Linked DNA regions of Sus scrofa. The protein of the gene in region 1 purifies or fractionates together with the protein of each later gene. This does not show direct contact. Links are inferred from orthologs where the notes say so. Each region holds a gene or a part of one and is shown on either strand. Other genes may lie near its edges.

Region 1 (5,271 bases):
CTGACAGCACCAACCTGGACTATATCACAACTATTCCTTTATTAGGGCGGGATTCTACATCATGTATTATATATACATATATTATATATCATGGTATTGCATCCCATCTCAATATATAAAGAATATAAAACAGTAATAAAGATGTGTTAAATGTCAACAACAATCTTCTTGAAATTATGTTAAAAAAAAAAAAAAAGGAGTTCCTGTCATGGCGCAGTGGAAATGAATCTAACTAGGAACCATGAGGTTGTGGGTTTGATCCCTGGCCTCACTCAGTAGGTTAAGGATCTGGTGTTGCCATGAGCTGTGGTGTAGATTGCAGACGCAGCTTGATCCTGCATTGCTGTGACTGTGGCATAGGCCGGCAGCTGTAGCTCCGATTTGCCCCCTAGCCTGGGAACCTCCATATGCGGCGTGGCTGCAGCCCTAAAAAGCAATATCAATTAATCAATCAATCAAAAACATTTATGTTAAAAATGTAAGGTAGGGATTATTATGGATGTGGATTTACGATTTAGGTGGAGGGATGACTTATAAAATACTAATATAGGTGAAATATTATTTGGGAAAACAATATCAACACAGAGTCCCTCCCTCTACCCAGCAAATCCTAAAGATCAATAATAGATAATGAAAGGATAATATAAGACCCTAATTTTTTTTCCCTTTTTTGCCTTTTAGGGCTGCACTCAGGGCATACAGAAGTTCCCAAGTTAGGGGTGGAATCAGAGATGCAGCTGCCAGCCTACACCACAGTCACAGCCATGCAGGATCCCAGCCACGCATGCCATCTAGTCCACAGCTCAGGGCAACCAAGGATCCTTAACTCACTGAGTGAGGCCGGGAATTGAACTCGCGTCCTCGTGGATACTAGCTGGGTTCTTTAGCGCCAAGCCACAACAGGAACTCCCAATTTTTTAATTTTAAAATTAACAGCAAATTTCCAAAAAAACTTGATAAAACTTTCAGATTGAAACCCAAACTACAGTACTAAAGAGTATATATTTCAAATTTTCTTAATGTCAGAAATACTGAATTATGTTTATAACGTAATTACTGTTAAAACTCCAAGTATGAAAGATTTGGATCACTACTGTCTCCAAGCAGCTGGACGTGTACAGAGGTGCTATTAATCTATTAGTTGGAAAATTAAGTAGCTGGCATTATGATAGTACTGTGTGTACAGTACTATTTTTTTAAGCCCATCATTTGCATTTGATTACATGGACCATCTGTAACTGCCTGTGAATCATATGAGGACATTTACCGAACATTTGTCAAGTAGCAAAATGTTTAGCATAGAAGAGTTGACACATAATAGCCTTCATGTTTCACTAAATCAACTTTAGAAGCCAGGCTATAGGTACAACCCACAGACGTGTAGTCTTTAGAAAAATATGATTTGATTAAAGAATACCGCCTCAGCCCAAGCCTTCAGTGGGTAGACCAAAAGGTCTTTTATGACCAGCGAGGTGACTTTGCTTCACCGTCTTTTCCATGAAACTGTTCTGTTGGGGTTGGGGAGGTAGGGGGTTCAAAAAGTCCTGAGAAAAGAAGAGGAAGGAGATACAGCTGAAAAAGTGGGAGCAGAGGGTCGTGATGAATCGGTGGCTGGGCACTTGCCTAGGAGGAACAAACGCGAAATCACTACCCAGACTATGGTTAGCGAAGGAGTCGGGGCGCCTTTCACTGGACGCCTTCGCGCCACCTGTCAGACCGGAGGTGTCAACGGGAATGCAGGGGGGTCGGTGAAGGTACCCCGTGCTCCGGAAGAAGGCTGCGGACAGGCGGGTCTCTGCCCGCCAGGTGTTCTAACGGGGCGGAGGCGGAGGGAGGGCAGGGCAGGAAGGAGGGAGTGCTAGTCCCCGCTTTCCGAGGTCTCTGGAACCGAGCAAGGAGGCAAAGGTGGAATAGGGGGCAGCTACTGCGTGCCCCTCCCCTGAGCCTCTCAGCTCCTCCCTCCAGGCACGTGACTAAGCCGGCGGGTGCCCTGCTCAAGCAGCGTAGCTCGCTCTGTTTCTTCCCTCCCGCCGCTGTGCCCTTCTTCTCCCGGGTTCCCATCCCTCCGTTCTCCCCCACCTCCTTCTCATGCCCCAATAACAGCTCGAGCTGCAAAGCGCCCGCCCCTCCGCCCTTTTCTTCGCTTGCTCATTGGCTGAGACTTCAAGGACGCGGCCCGAGGGCGGGTGGCAGCCATTGGTGGGATGAGCAATCCGAGTTCCCGGATGAGGGAACATTCTGCAGTATAAAGGGAGCGGGGAAGGCGGGAGACAGCGCAGTTTGAATCGCGGTGCGACGGAGGAGTAGGCGGCGGGATCTCGCTTGGTGACTGACTAGTCCTTTCTCTGCCTTGCTTGTTTGAGCTTCAGCAGAATTCGAAATGGTAAACTTCGCGGAGGCGCTCGAAGACTACGCGGGTTTTTGCCGGCAGGAGAAAAACCCGTTACACACGGAGATGGGGGTGAAGCGGTGACGGTTGGGAACGCGCGGAGAGAGGATGTGGAAGAGCGGGGGGAGGTGTTTTGTCGGCGGCGAGCGGAGCAGCCTCCGATCTCGCGGCGGGCGGCGACGGTTGGGTGGCGCGCGCAGCGCCGCTGGGAGCCGGAGGGCGGTGAGCGGGCGGCCTGAAGCGCGCGGCCGCGGCGGGCGCGCAGCGGGGGGCAGGCGGGCGGGGTCGCCCTTGCGGCGCGCGGCGGGCCGGAGACCCCGGCTGGGCACCGGGCCCCGCTCGCGCCCGGGCCGCCCCGCGGTGGGGGAGGGGCGCGCCGCCTTGGTAATCCTGTATTCTGCGTTCCTTCTTCGCTCGCGGGCGTGTGCGCGCCGCAGGCTGGCGGTAAGGCTGGGAAGGACTCCGGAAAGGCCAAGACAAAGGCGGTTTCCCGCTCGCAGAGAGCCGGTTTGCAGGTCAGTGGGGGTTTCTGCTGTCTGGGAATCGCGGCGTTTTTCTCTCCTTTTTCTCTGTTTATCATTGCACTAGATGAGCTTTTGGTCTTTGCGTGGTGATGGTGTCGGGACTTGGTTTACCGATACAATAAATATTGGGGAAGGGGGGGCGATCACGTGTGGCGATGCTAGGGCGCGTTGCTGCATCAGCCTCCGTGCCCCTTGCTTTGGCGCGCGTATAATTTGACCATTTTTGGCTCCTCTATCTTTGTGCATTTGTGTTTGTGTATGCGAAAAATGAAGTTTCCGGTGGGCCGTATTCATCGACACCTGAAATCTAGGACGACCAGCCATGGACGTGTGGGCGCGACTGCCGCTGTGTACAGCGCAGCCATCCTGGAGTACCTCACCGCAGAGGTAAATGGGTGTACGCCTGTAATCTGGAAAAGGTGGTGGGGGGAGGCGGTGAGAGGGAAGGAGGAAAGTGATGCAAGAAAACTCCCAGGCTCTGAACGCGGTGAGAAGCTTCTGACAACGCTAGAGGGGGCTGGTGTTCATTTTGGGTTCCTCCTGAGCTTGAGTTGACTGCTTTAGGAAATAAAATTGCGTGTCCCCTTTATAGCTTTTGCATATCTTGCCATTCAGGTAGTGGGGGGAGACGGCAGTTGGTAGATACACGTTCACGAAGGTTTGATTCTTCTGGATCTTGATCCTAAGGAAAGTTGGCAGGAGATTGATTAGATTCTGTCTTCTAGGTACTTGAATTGGCAGGAAATGCATCAAAAGACTTGAAGGTAAAGCGTATTACTCCTCGTCACTTGCAACTTGCTATTCGTGGAGATGAAGAATTGGATTCTCTCATCAAGGCTACAATCGCTGGTGGTGGTATGTAAATACTAAAAATTTTTTAATTTCTTTAGATAATTCTTTACTTTTTTCCCCCACTAGAAGAGGACACTTAGTGTTATTTTCAGTGATCTGTAGTATGGTTGCATCATGAAAATTGATTCCTGTATATAACTTAGTGAATTTTTACTTCTGCATACTCTGGCCTCACATTTAAAGACTTCTTCGAAGTTGAACGTTAAACTGTCATGGTTTTGAAGTCCTGTGTTAATTTTCAAAATAATGTATATTTAAAAGTATCCCTTTCCTCCCCTAGGTGTCATTCCACACATCCACAAATCTCTCATTGGGAAGAAAGGACAACAGAAGACTGTCTAAAGGATGCCTGGATTCCTTATTATCTCAGGACTCTAAATACTCTAACAGCTGTCCAGTGTTGGTGATTCCAATGGACTGTATCTCTGTGAAAAACACAATTTTGCCTTTTTGTAATTCTATTTGAGCAAGTTGGAAGTTTAATTAGCTTTCCAACCAACCAAATTTCTGCATTCGAGTCTTAACCATATTTAAGTGTTACTGTGGCTTCAAAGAAGCTATTGATTCTGAAGTAGTGGGTTTTGATTGAGTTGACTGTTTTTAAAAAACTGTTTGGATTTTAATTGTGATGCAGAAGTTATAGTAACAAACATTTGGTTTTGTACAGACATTATTTCCACTTCGGTGGATAAGCTCAATAAAGGTCATATCCCAAACTAGTTGTGTATTAAATTCACTTGATTATGATGGGAACAACTTTTGTTTTGAATAACTATCTTATCCAGCAATAACTTAATAAGCACGTTTCTTACCTTGAAATTAAAATGTTAATTTTGTAGATCAACAAACCTCGAAGGCTAAAGCATATATATATTTTTTAATGCTATGAGATGAACTATTAAAGATTTTAAAACTTCAGTAGGAGCTTGGAACTGGACAAGGTGATGTTTTTTAGGTTAAATTTGATCATCTCAATTTGTCGCTGCACTTGCTGTTTGTGACAGCAGCACTACATCCAGAGCACTGTCATGGACTGGGGCAGGTAGGGAAGTTCTGTATATTGCTACCTCCACAGAAGGTACTTTCAGTATAAACAGTGAAGTGTTTCCTGTGTTCTCCCACTGTTTCAAAGGCTACCTGGATTAAACTGTTCAGTATGCACCATCTAATCCCGTTTTTACAGAAAAGAATCAAGGTTGGAGTTCCCCTGTGGAATAGCAGATTAAAGGTCCCGTGTTGTCACTGCAGGGGCTCCAGTGGCTGCTGTGGTGGGGGTTTGGTCACTGCCCTGGGGAACTTCTACATGCCTTGGACTCACCAAAAAAGAATCAGGGTTTCTCTGAAAGTCCTGAGTTGATCATATTTGCTGTCATGGCTGTCTTTACTGAACATTGTATGAAACGATTATTTTGTGGTTAAGTTGATTGGATCGTTTTGACATGACACTTGGCTTCTGACAAGTTCTTAGTTTTTGAAACTCGGATTAGGTCATTACAAGGCTCATCC
Region 2 (3,989 bases), on another chromosome or scaffold:
GCCGTCCACCTGCACAGCAAGAACAAAACCACCCGAGCTCAGCCCCCACCCTCCGGGTGGCTCTCCAGCCAGGGGCTCGGCCACTCGGCTGGGGAGCTGAGCCTCTGTGGGCCAGACTGGGCTGTGCTGAGCGCTCGGACGGCCGCCCGGGGAGTCCACGCTGAAGAGAGGGAGCCGGCGGGGAGGGACCTGCAGCTGCAGCTCCTGCTGGGCACAGACCCCAGGGCACTGGGCCCTCAGCGTGGGGTTGGTGCCTGCAGCAGGAAGGTGAGCGAGCGCCCGAGGGCCGGGGACCAGGGGCCAGACGGTGGGGCTGAGGTCGCCCAGAAAAGGCCGCAGGGGTGCTCCCCCCAAAAATAAATAAATGAATCTTTAAAAAAGAAAAAAGGCAGGGATGGCCACCTGATGGGCTTCACACAAGGAGACGCCAGCCACGGCCCATCACAGACACTCTGCGAGGCACCAGGGCGGTGGAAGCTGCTGCAGACCCACCCGCGCGGAGGGTTTTATTCTGAGTTGCTTGGCGTCAGCGGAACGTGCTTTTACAAGACAGTACCACACAGAACCGTTTCTACACCAGCCTGATGTGGAGGCGTTCACCATGTTCAGGCTGTGAAGAAACGGGGGCCCAGAGTTTGGAAGAGGCCCTGCTCCTTCCACCTGGACCAGCGCAGGCTGTGCGAAGATGGCCCGTGCGGCTCCAGGTTGTGAGAGGTCTTGACACCGTGCACGGCTTCAGTCTCACCCTGAGACTGCTTCCAGAAGGGTAACTTTCTATACAGAACAGAACTTGGCATTTCAAGCCTCAAGCCTGAGTGGCTGAGGAGTTCCCGTCGTGGCTCAGTGGTGAACAAATCTGACTAGGAACCATGAGGTTGCGGGTTCGAACCCTGCCCTTGCTCAGTGGGTTAAGGATCCGGCGTTGCCGTGAGCTGTGGTGTAGGTCGCAGACGAGGCTCGGATCCCGCGCTGCTGTGGCTGTGGCGTAGGCCGGCGGCTACAGCTGTGATGAGGCCACTAGCCTGGGAACCTCCATATGCCGCGGAGCGGCCCAAGAAAAAGCAGAAAGACAAAAAAAAAAAAAAAAGCCTGAGTAGATGAAAGGGCACTCCGGCTCACGGCTTCCGGCGCAGACCCCTTACTCACACGAAGCCAAAAAGCTCTGCTCGCCCCCTGCTCATCACAGCTAATGGCTCCACCCAGAGCAGCATTCCACAGTGACGGGCGTGAGCAACCAAACCTTAGGAAGGGCGTCAAGTCCTTGCTCAGAGTTAAGAGCTTGGTACCTGTGCCCTAAAACCTGTTCAGTGTTCTGCGACAGGGACTGGTTTTGGAGGCTTCCCAGGACCCCAGGTGCTCATCTGGGAAAACAACCAACAGTACAGCTGGGCTCAGGAGTTAAAGGAAAAACACGAATTGTGTTCCGTCCTCAACTAGGAGAGACAGGCTGGGGTCAGAATGCACTGGATCTGAACCTGTCCACCCTCCCTGTCACACGCCCTGGCTTGGCCGAGGGCATCCCGCCCCGCCTCACCACTAGGCTACATGTGCTGCACGTCACTGCAGCTCCAGTAGGCCAGGAGCCGGTGACACACGCTTGTGTCCTTTTAGAGCAGAAAGGCTTGCAAAACGAAGGACAGAAGGAGCGAACAAAACGGACGTGCAGTACTAACAGTCAAGCCAAACTCTCCAGCCAAGGCTTCAAGACTGCTCTTGGCAGCACTCGTGGACAGAGAACATCTTAAAATCCTTTTCCCTTGGGGGTTCCCGGTGTGGCTCAGAGATAATGAGCCGAACCCAACTAGCGTCCATGAGGACACAGGTTCGATCCCTGGCCTCACTCAGTGGGTTAAGGATCCGGCATTGCCAAGAGCTGTGGTAGAGGTCGAAGACGCAGCTCGGATCTCGCGTTGCCGTGATGTAGGCCAGTAGCTGTAGCTCTGATTCGACCCCGGGCCTGGGAACCTCCATATGCCGCGAGTGTGGCCCTAAAAAGAAACAAAAAAAACCACCAAAAAAACCCCTTTCCCCAAGTGAGTAAGTGCAGCTGTGCAGCAATGAGAGCTCTTGCCCCGGGGCCTCCTCCCTCTTCAGCAGAGCCCGCGATTCCCGAGCCCACACGCGCTGAGCATGCGGCCGTGCTCCTGCAGGCCACCCGGGACCCACCTTGAAGTTGGGCTGGGCGAAGCACCGGGCCACGGCGATCATGGACGCGGTCAAAGGGCCCGAGACGCCGATGGTGGTCAGAAACTCGGAAATGTTGGGGGTGAGGCGGAACGGGACAGGGCGGTTGGCGTCCAAGTCTCCGGTCGCGTCATTTATGTCGAATCGGAAGTAGGCCACGTTGAGTTTGCCGGTGTCCTGGACGTCAGAGGGAGGCGCTCAAGCAGGGACCGGGCCGGGGGGAGCGGGGCCGGCCGCGCGCCGCGGCTTACCTGCGCTATCTGCAGCATCTCGGGGTTGAGCCTGTTGAGATGCAGCACAAACTCGGCGAAGCCGATGAGCGCGAGCTGGATGGTGAGCATCTTGCGGAAGGTCCAGTAGTCGGTGGCGTTGGGGAAGGTGTGCAGGGCCCACTCCCGGAGCATGCTGCGCGGCACCATGTTGCTCTGGACCTCCTTGAGGATGTCGCGGAGCACCTGGAACCAGACACGCGCCGCCGCGCTCGCCTCTGCTCCGGGCAGAAGACGCGCGACTGCCGCTCCTCTCTCGCTCTGCCCCCCACGGCGCGTGCGAGTTCCGGGACCGGAAACTGAACCCCCACCACCGCAGCGGCAATGCCAGACCCTTCACCTGCTGCGCCGCAAGGGAACCCCTGTCACTTTTTTCTTGCTCAGCACCGGCACGGTGGCTTCTGCTGGCAAATACTTATGCTGTCTCACTGGACTAACCCTGAGGACGCACAAAACGCGTCAATTTCCTGCAAGGCTCCTTGTCTTGTACCCAAATCAACAGCGGAGCTGCGGGAATAAAAGCCTCAGTTACATGACAGCCAACTGACTACCCATCTCACCGAGAACTTAGCTAAAGTCTGAACACTGTAACTGGCCAATACACCAGAACACACAGACCAACTAACAAAAAGAACAAAAGAATACTTCGTAACTAAGGCAACTGAAGACCAAAATTTTATAAACCGAAGGACTGAATTTAAAATTAGATTAGATGCAGAGTTCCCATCGTGGCGCGGTGGTTAACGAACCCGACTAGGAACCGTGAGGTTGTGAGTTCGATTCCTGGCCTCACTCAGTGGGTTAAGTATCTGGCATTGCTGTGAGCTGTGGTGTAGGTCGCAGACGTGGCTCAGATCCTGTGTTGCTGTGGCTATGGTGGAGGCTGGCAGCTGTAGCCCTGATTTGACTCCTAGCCTGGGACCCTCCATATGCCGCGGATGCTGCCCTAAAAAGACAAAAAAAAAAAAAAAAAAATTTAGATGTTACACCACACTTTAAACTGAATTCTGGACTAGCAGGCTCATAAGGCTATTTCAAACATCAGAGAATGGTCTCAATGAAAAGGTTACTGAGTTGGATAAGTCCCTGAGAGACCAACTGGTAAAGGCCTCTTCTGGGCCGAGTCGTACCCTTGTGCCCTGCCACCCACGGGCACACAGGCCCTGAGCAACCAACAGCTCTGCAGATCATCAACCGTGCCTCGTTCCTGTTCATTCCGTCTCAGGTGGAAAGAAGCACACCTGAGAGAGCAAAGGGAGCACCTCCAGGGTCCGCTGCTCCGTAAGGGCACTAAGAACTCGCACCACCCATCAAAACCAGCTTTTCCAGAACTCTGGAACTTAGAGGCTTGTAACAACCCGAGCAACTTTTACTAAAAAGGGGGGGGGGGGCGACCGTTGGTGAGAGCAGTGAGCCTTTTGCAGTTCAGTTCCGGTTGTGGCTCAGCAGATTAAGAACCCAACAGTGGGTTCGATCCCTGGCCTCGCTCAGTGCGTTAAGGGCATTGCCTTGAGCTGCAGTGTAGGTCACAGGCAC
Region 3 (5,171 bases), on another chromosome or scaffold:
CAGAGCTGGGTATTAAGTCCCATCAGCATTTTCAACATAGAGAAGGCATTTTAAAGAATGCCAGTCAGATTAAAAAATTAATGTAAAAGCAATAGTTAGGATACGGCAGAATACAGGCCACAGCAGATACAACTTTGGCTTTGAAGCTATGTGATCTGTACTCATCTCTAAGACTCACCAAACGTTAACTGAAGCCTTTCTGATATTCTATGATAACATGTTTGTTCTTAGCAATTACAAAGGGCAGTCTTTCTTACACTCTACCAGCTTGGCCTAACCAATTCAACTAAATGTCACTTACTTAAATCACTGTACCTACATAAGCACGAAATTACACAAATAAATTTTGCTCAAATTCAACACCCAAATTATACTGATAATGTATTTCCAAGTCCATGCTATTCAACTAAAATTGTGGTAAATGTTACTACCAGAACCAAAATTACAAAGGAACACAAAACACATTATTTCTACTGAATGAGATGCTATGGAATGCTAAGAACAAAGCCTCATTTCTGGATCTGATTAATCGGATTGATCCCTCATGGCCTATTTCTCCTCCAGGTCAAGTAACATAGAATTCTACAATGGAAGATGTTCAACTATTTTAATGAGACCATGAAATAGTATAAGCTGTCTCGCAATTTCATAAACTGAAATTACAGCTCTATCTGAATTTGAAGCTCAGAAGTGGCTTATAACAAAATAAAAGTCTTTCCCTGATGATTCATCTTAGTGAAGTGACTATCAAGAACTAGTGAAAATGAAATTTTCAGTTGAAAGAAAAAGAAAAATTTAATGAGCCAGCATCTGTCACGCCAGACCATGCCTTCTCTCCCCCGCCTTCGCTCCCCCGACCCGAACCCAGACCTTGACCCTCTGCAGTACCTGAGGTGCTGATGGGACTAATTACCTGTTTTGAGGCTGGGACTGAACTCTCGGCTAGTGCGGGGAGGTGGGAAGGCCTCCGAGGCTGTCTGTGCTGGAAGGGTTCGATATGGAGGAGGAGTCAACTCTTCGTCACCAGAGAAGCTCCTCCGCAGCCCACCTGTCATGGGTAGGCTCGACAAACTGACAGGCTTCTTCCCACTTGGCATCTTCCTCTCTAAATATCAAGTCAAACTAAAGTAAGCTTTTACTTACATGTGTGGTAAGAAAAGTGCATCATAACTAGGAAAGGCTGCATTGCATAGGGTACTCTGAAAAGAGAGCCAACTATGCAAGGTTTGCATTTCTAAAACCAAGGGGTGGGTGGGCATGTATGTGTGCGTGCGTGGGCTGCGGAATGGATGACAGGTGATTATTTCTAGTCTCTGCAAGTCCAAATCCTGGATCCTGACTCTCCATTGAAAACAAAAGAAAGCAAAATGAACTATAGAGAGCACTGAGTGTGAAGAATTAGCTGGCTAATTGGGAAAATTTTAATTTGAGGGGACTGAAAATCCACTAGAAGAGAGAGGGTTTAAAAACCCTACTTGCAGGCCAAAGTCAGTGGCTGCCCATGTAAGACAAACACTGTCCTTCAGAGAGAAATCAAACAATTTAATAAATGTATTTGACACGTGGCAGGACTTTACTGATATGAAATGTACTTCTCTAACTTTCGGTTTATAATCCACTCTTTCAGGAAAGTCATAATTCTTAATCTGAAAAGCAGTTCTAAAGTTTAAACATTTGTTGACTGCATGTTTGTAAGCAATCTAATTTCTTCTAAAACACTTTTCATTAGAGTTTCATAAGCACACAAAAACCTTCGAAGACTTACACAATGCTTTCACCACCAACAAATAATAATCTAAGCTCTGCGAATATTGAATAAACAAGCATTCTGCATTAATAGGTTGAAAGCTGAAGGATACTTACATAGCTTTGTGACTATAAATTACATGTTTTCTTTAAGAGTGTTTTTTTTTTTTTTTTTCTTACAAATGACCCAGGCAGGATCAATTAGAAATTATGCTTTGCAAAATTAGGACTAAAAAGATAAATACAAGTCAGACAGTATTCCTATGTAAAATGATCTGGAAACCAAGCTCCTATGAGTACACATTTAATTCTCAACTGCCAAACCAAAATCATTTGCAGCAATCATGTAGACAAGAGTCTAATGTACCACACACTTGGAGATAAAAATGCCAGGAGAGTTTCTACCTTTCTACTACTTACAAAAGCCCCTGAAGATGGTACAGAAATTAGTGTTGATTTTCCTGCTCTAGAATTATTAAACCTTGAGGAAAAAAAGGCTTTTCAGATTGGATAGATGACTTGCATACAATGATCCTCTTGACAGAACGTAACTCTTATTTCTCAACAGCACTGGTTAATAGTTATCCCCTCATGCTATAAAGCATGTTCATACACAGCTAATCAAAAGACAAGCTAGGACAATGAAGCCAATCTATTTCTGTAAAAAGTAAGCCCTACCAAAAGAATATACTGACGGATGATTTTAGGTACAGTAAGACCAAAGATGAAACAACAGAACCAGAATATAATAATCTGTAGACAACCTTAAAACCAAATAGGTTTTGTAGCCTGTCTGACATAAATCTGCATACAATGGATGACTTAAGTTCTTGGACCCCCCAATTCTTTCTTATTTTGGTAAATAAAGTTTTGTGTGAAAAGGTTGTAATAAACTACTTGCTGCCGAGTAATGTGAAAAAAAAATTAAAGGAGCAAAGAGTACCCTTACAAGAAGACTGCCTCTTCATGCACACAGAACTACAATTCCTTATCCTTAATTCCAAAAATTCAAAGTTTTTTCGGCACAACTTTGGCGACAAAACCAGACCTTACTTGGTATACTATTTATAACCTTTATTTAGCCCATTAAATGTAACTATTTATGCATATTTTGCTTTGGGAAATGCTGCAGAGCCTACAAGGGATGTTACATAATATATGCTACAAACAATGTACTTCTTTTCTAAAATCCAAATAATTCTAAATTTCAAAACACATCTGGCCTAAGGATTTCTAATAAGGGACTGTGGGTCCACAGTTCTTTTTTATGTCCAAAGGACAATTTAAAGGCATTGGAGATGATGTCATAATATTAAGAGCTACTAAAAGTTAAAGGACACATCATATTGTAGCTATATCCAGTTTTTCAGCTAATCCTGAAATCTAGTACTGTTATCACTAAAAACTAGGATAATGATATTACCACTTTATTAATTTCACATTTCTTCCCATGTCCCTAGCCCATTCATTCAAAATCATTACACCCCATAAGCCACAAACCCAGTAAGAGTTACACCAACTGAGGTATGCGATCTGTGCATACAATGCTCAGAAATTAGATCTAAAAAACATACATCACACAGTTACTAAGTAATAAAAAATGTTCTGAAATTCCACACATTATGGAAAGAAAATCCTGATATCTCAAAGTCTTATCAAATAAAATGTGAAAAGACAGGCCAAAGCGGCCTGTACTACTCAGCCTTAGAGAAAGCTTAGTGATCAAACATGGTAAGCAGCTGGGTGGCAAAACAATTCTGGGACTGTAGGAGGCTTATGTCTATAATATGAAAGAGAGGGTTAGGGGCCTGATGGTTATCACTACTGTGAGGCTGATATGGGTTTTTTATGCGGAGGAAACCAAAGAACCACTGCACTGGCTGCTAGAAGTTAGGTTTCTCACTGAAGAAATTATAAACAAACATTTATGATCAAAAAGATAAGGGCTGGATTTTCCTTGTGGCACAGATGGTTAAGGATCCAGTGCTGTCACTGCAGTGGTTCAGGTTATTGCTGTGGTTCAGGTTCAATCAACTTCCATATGCCACAGGGGATCCTTGAACATAGGGCAAGTTAGTTGGAAAAATCTGTTTTAATTTTAATCCTCGAATGTACTTTTTACTTAAAAAAAAAACTTTAAATAAAAATAACCATATCTCAGAGCAAAATATTCCACAAGTTTCATGAAGAAAAAAAATCTGTGGCTTCCTATGTTGGGGGAAAAAAGATTAAAAAAAAAAAAAAAATCAGAGTTAGGGCTGCACCTGTGGCATATGGAGGTTCCCAGGCTAGGGGTTGAATCAGAGCTGGAGCTGCTGGCCTACACCACAGCCACAGCAACACAAGATGCGAGCAACGTCTGTGACCTACACCACAGCTCACGACAACGCCAGATCCTTAACTCCCTGAGCGAGGCCAGGGATTGAACCGACATCTTCAAGGATACTAGTTGGGTTCTTAACCCACTGAGTCATCATGGGAAGTCCCAAGAAAAATTTTTTTTGGCCACACCGATGGCATGTAGAAGTTCCTGGGCCAGGGGCTGAACCTGCCGCACAGGAGCATTCTGAGAAAACTTTTCTTAGGTCTGATTTTGTTAGCTATCACCTTGAATTTCTCAAAAGCATCATTCTAGAAAGAGTTTTCATTTATAAGGATGGGTTTATTAATCTCCAAGTCTATTGTAAGCATCTGCTTTTAAAGTTGTAAAACTCTTAAAGATTTAAAAAAGATTAATTTTCAGAAGGTTTACATGTTACTTCAAGAATTGTCCACAGACTCTATTCTTTACCACATATTAAATATTATGGTAATAATTTCCCCTATCAAAGGTAAGTGTTTCTCATTACTGAAAAGGTTTGCCTTTTATAGCATACTGCACCTTTAAGCATAATACAGAATGCACAGTTATCTGCTCTCAAAAAGGGTATCGTTTCTGTGCAAGAATATTTAAGACCCCAACTGGTTAACAAGTTACAAAGTGTATATAAACACCACATGGTGACCCACTTTTCTTATGTCCTTTGTATTGCTGGGACTTAGCCTTTTTCTTCTGCTTTGATGAACCTGATTGGCTTTCTCTTGATGCTGAAAAATAAAAGGGAAAATTGGTACCAGACAACTCCTTACAAATCTAGATACAACTTAGTTCACCAAGAACATTACGCTTATAAAAGTATACAATGTTTTAAAAATAAGGGTACTTTTTCCTGCAAAACCATGAACTTCAATACCAGAGAGATTCCACTACTTATTCAATAAGTCCTTCAAATACACCAATAACATAAAATTTATTAGCCTGTAATTTTAAACTCATTAAAATAAGTACAGTTTAATTTGGTGAGTGCTCTTGATGTTGTGTTTCTATAGTCATTATGTAACTGACTACTGAGTTCACACTGCCATGGAACACATGGTCTGATTCT

The links.
Region 2: the proteins of H2AFZ (region 1) and TRRAP purify together in Homo sapiens (affinity purification with mass spectrometry; 3 studies listed by BioGRID and IntAct, with this or other methods). This does not show direct contact. The link is inferred for Sus scrofa from reciprocal best matches to the Homo sapiens genes H2AZ1 and TRRAP.
Region 3: the proteins of H2AFZ (region 1) and MBTD1 purify together in Homo sapiens (affinity purification with mass spectrometry; 3 studies listed by BioGRID and IntAct, with this or other methods). This does not show direct contact. The link is inferred for Sus scrofa from reciprocal best matches to the Homo sapiens genes H2AZ1 and MBTD1.

Annotation. Positions count from the first base shown.
Region 1 is NC_010450.4:120,561,557-120,566,827, forward strand, and holds H2AFZ (histone H2A.Z), read left to right. Parts: upstream 1-2,195; 5' UTR 2,196-2,380; coding exon 2,381-2,383; intron 2,384-2,826; coding exon 2,827-2,904; intron 2,905-3,186; coding exon 3,187-3,300; intron 3,301-3,638; coding exon 3,639-3,768; intron 3,769-4,045; coding exon 4,046-4,107; 3' UTR 4,108-4,467; downstream 4,468-5,271. UniProt on the Homo sapiens protein: Variant histone H2A which replaces conventional H2A in a subset of nucleosomes. Nucleosomes wrap and compact DNA into chromatin, limiting DNA accessibility to the cellular machineries which require DNA as a template.
Region 2 is NC_010445.4:6,024,384-6,028,372, reverse strand, and holds part of TRRAP (transformation/transcription domain-associated protein), read right to left. Parts: intron 2,640-3,989; coding exon 2,436-2,639; exon of another isoform or gene 2,362-2,435; coding exon 2,167-2,361; intron 10-2,166; coding exon 1-9. UniProt on the Homo sapiens protein: Adapter protein, which is found in various multiprotein chromatin complexes with histone acetyltransferase activity (HAT), which gives a specific tag for epigenetic transcription activation.
Region 3 is NC_010454.4:27,459,589-27,464,759, forward strand, and holds part of MBTD1 (MBT domain-containing protein 1), read right to left. Parts: exon of another isoform or gene 4,834-5,171; coding exon 4,756-4,833; intron 1,106-4,755; coding exon 914-1,105; intron 1-913. UniProt on the Homo sapiens protein: Chromatin reader component of the NuA4 histone acetyltransferase complex, a multiprotein complex involved in transcriptional activation of select genes principally by acetylation of nucleosomal histones H4 and H2A.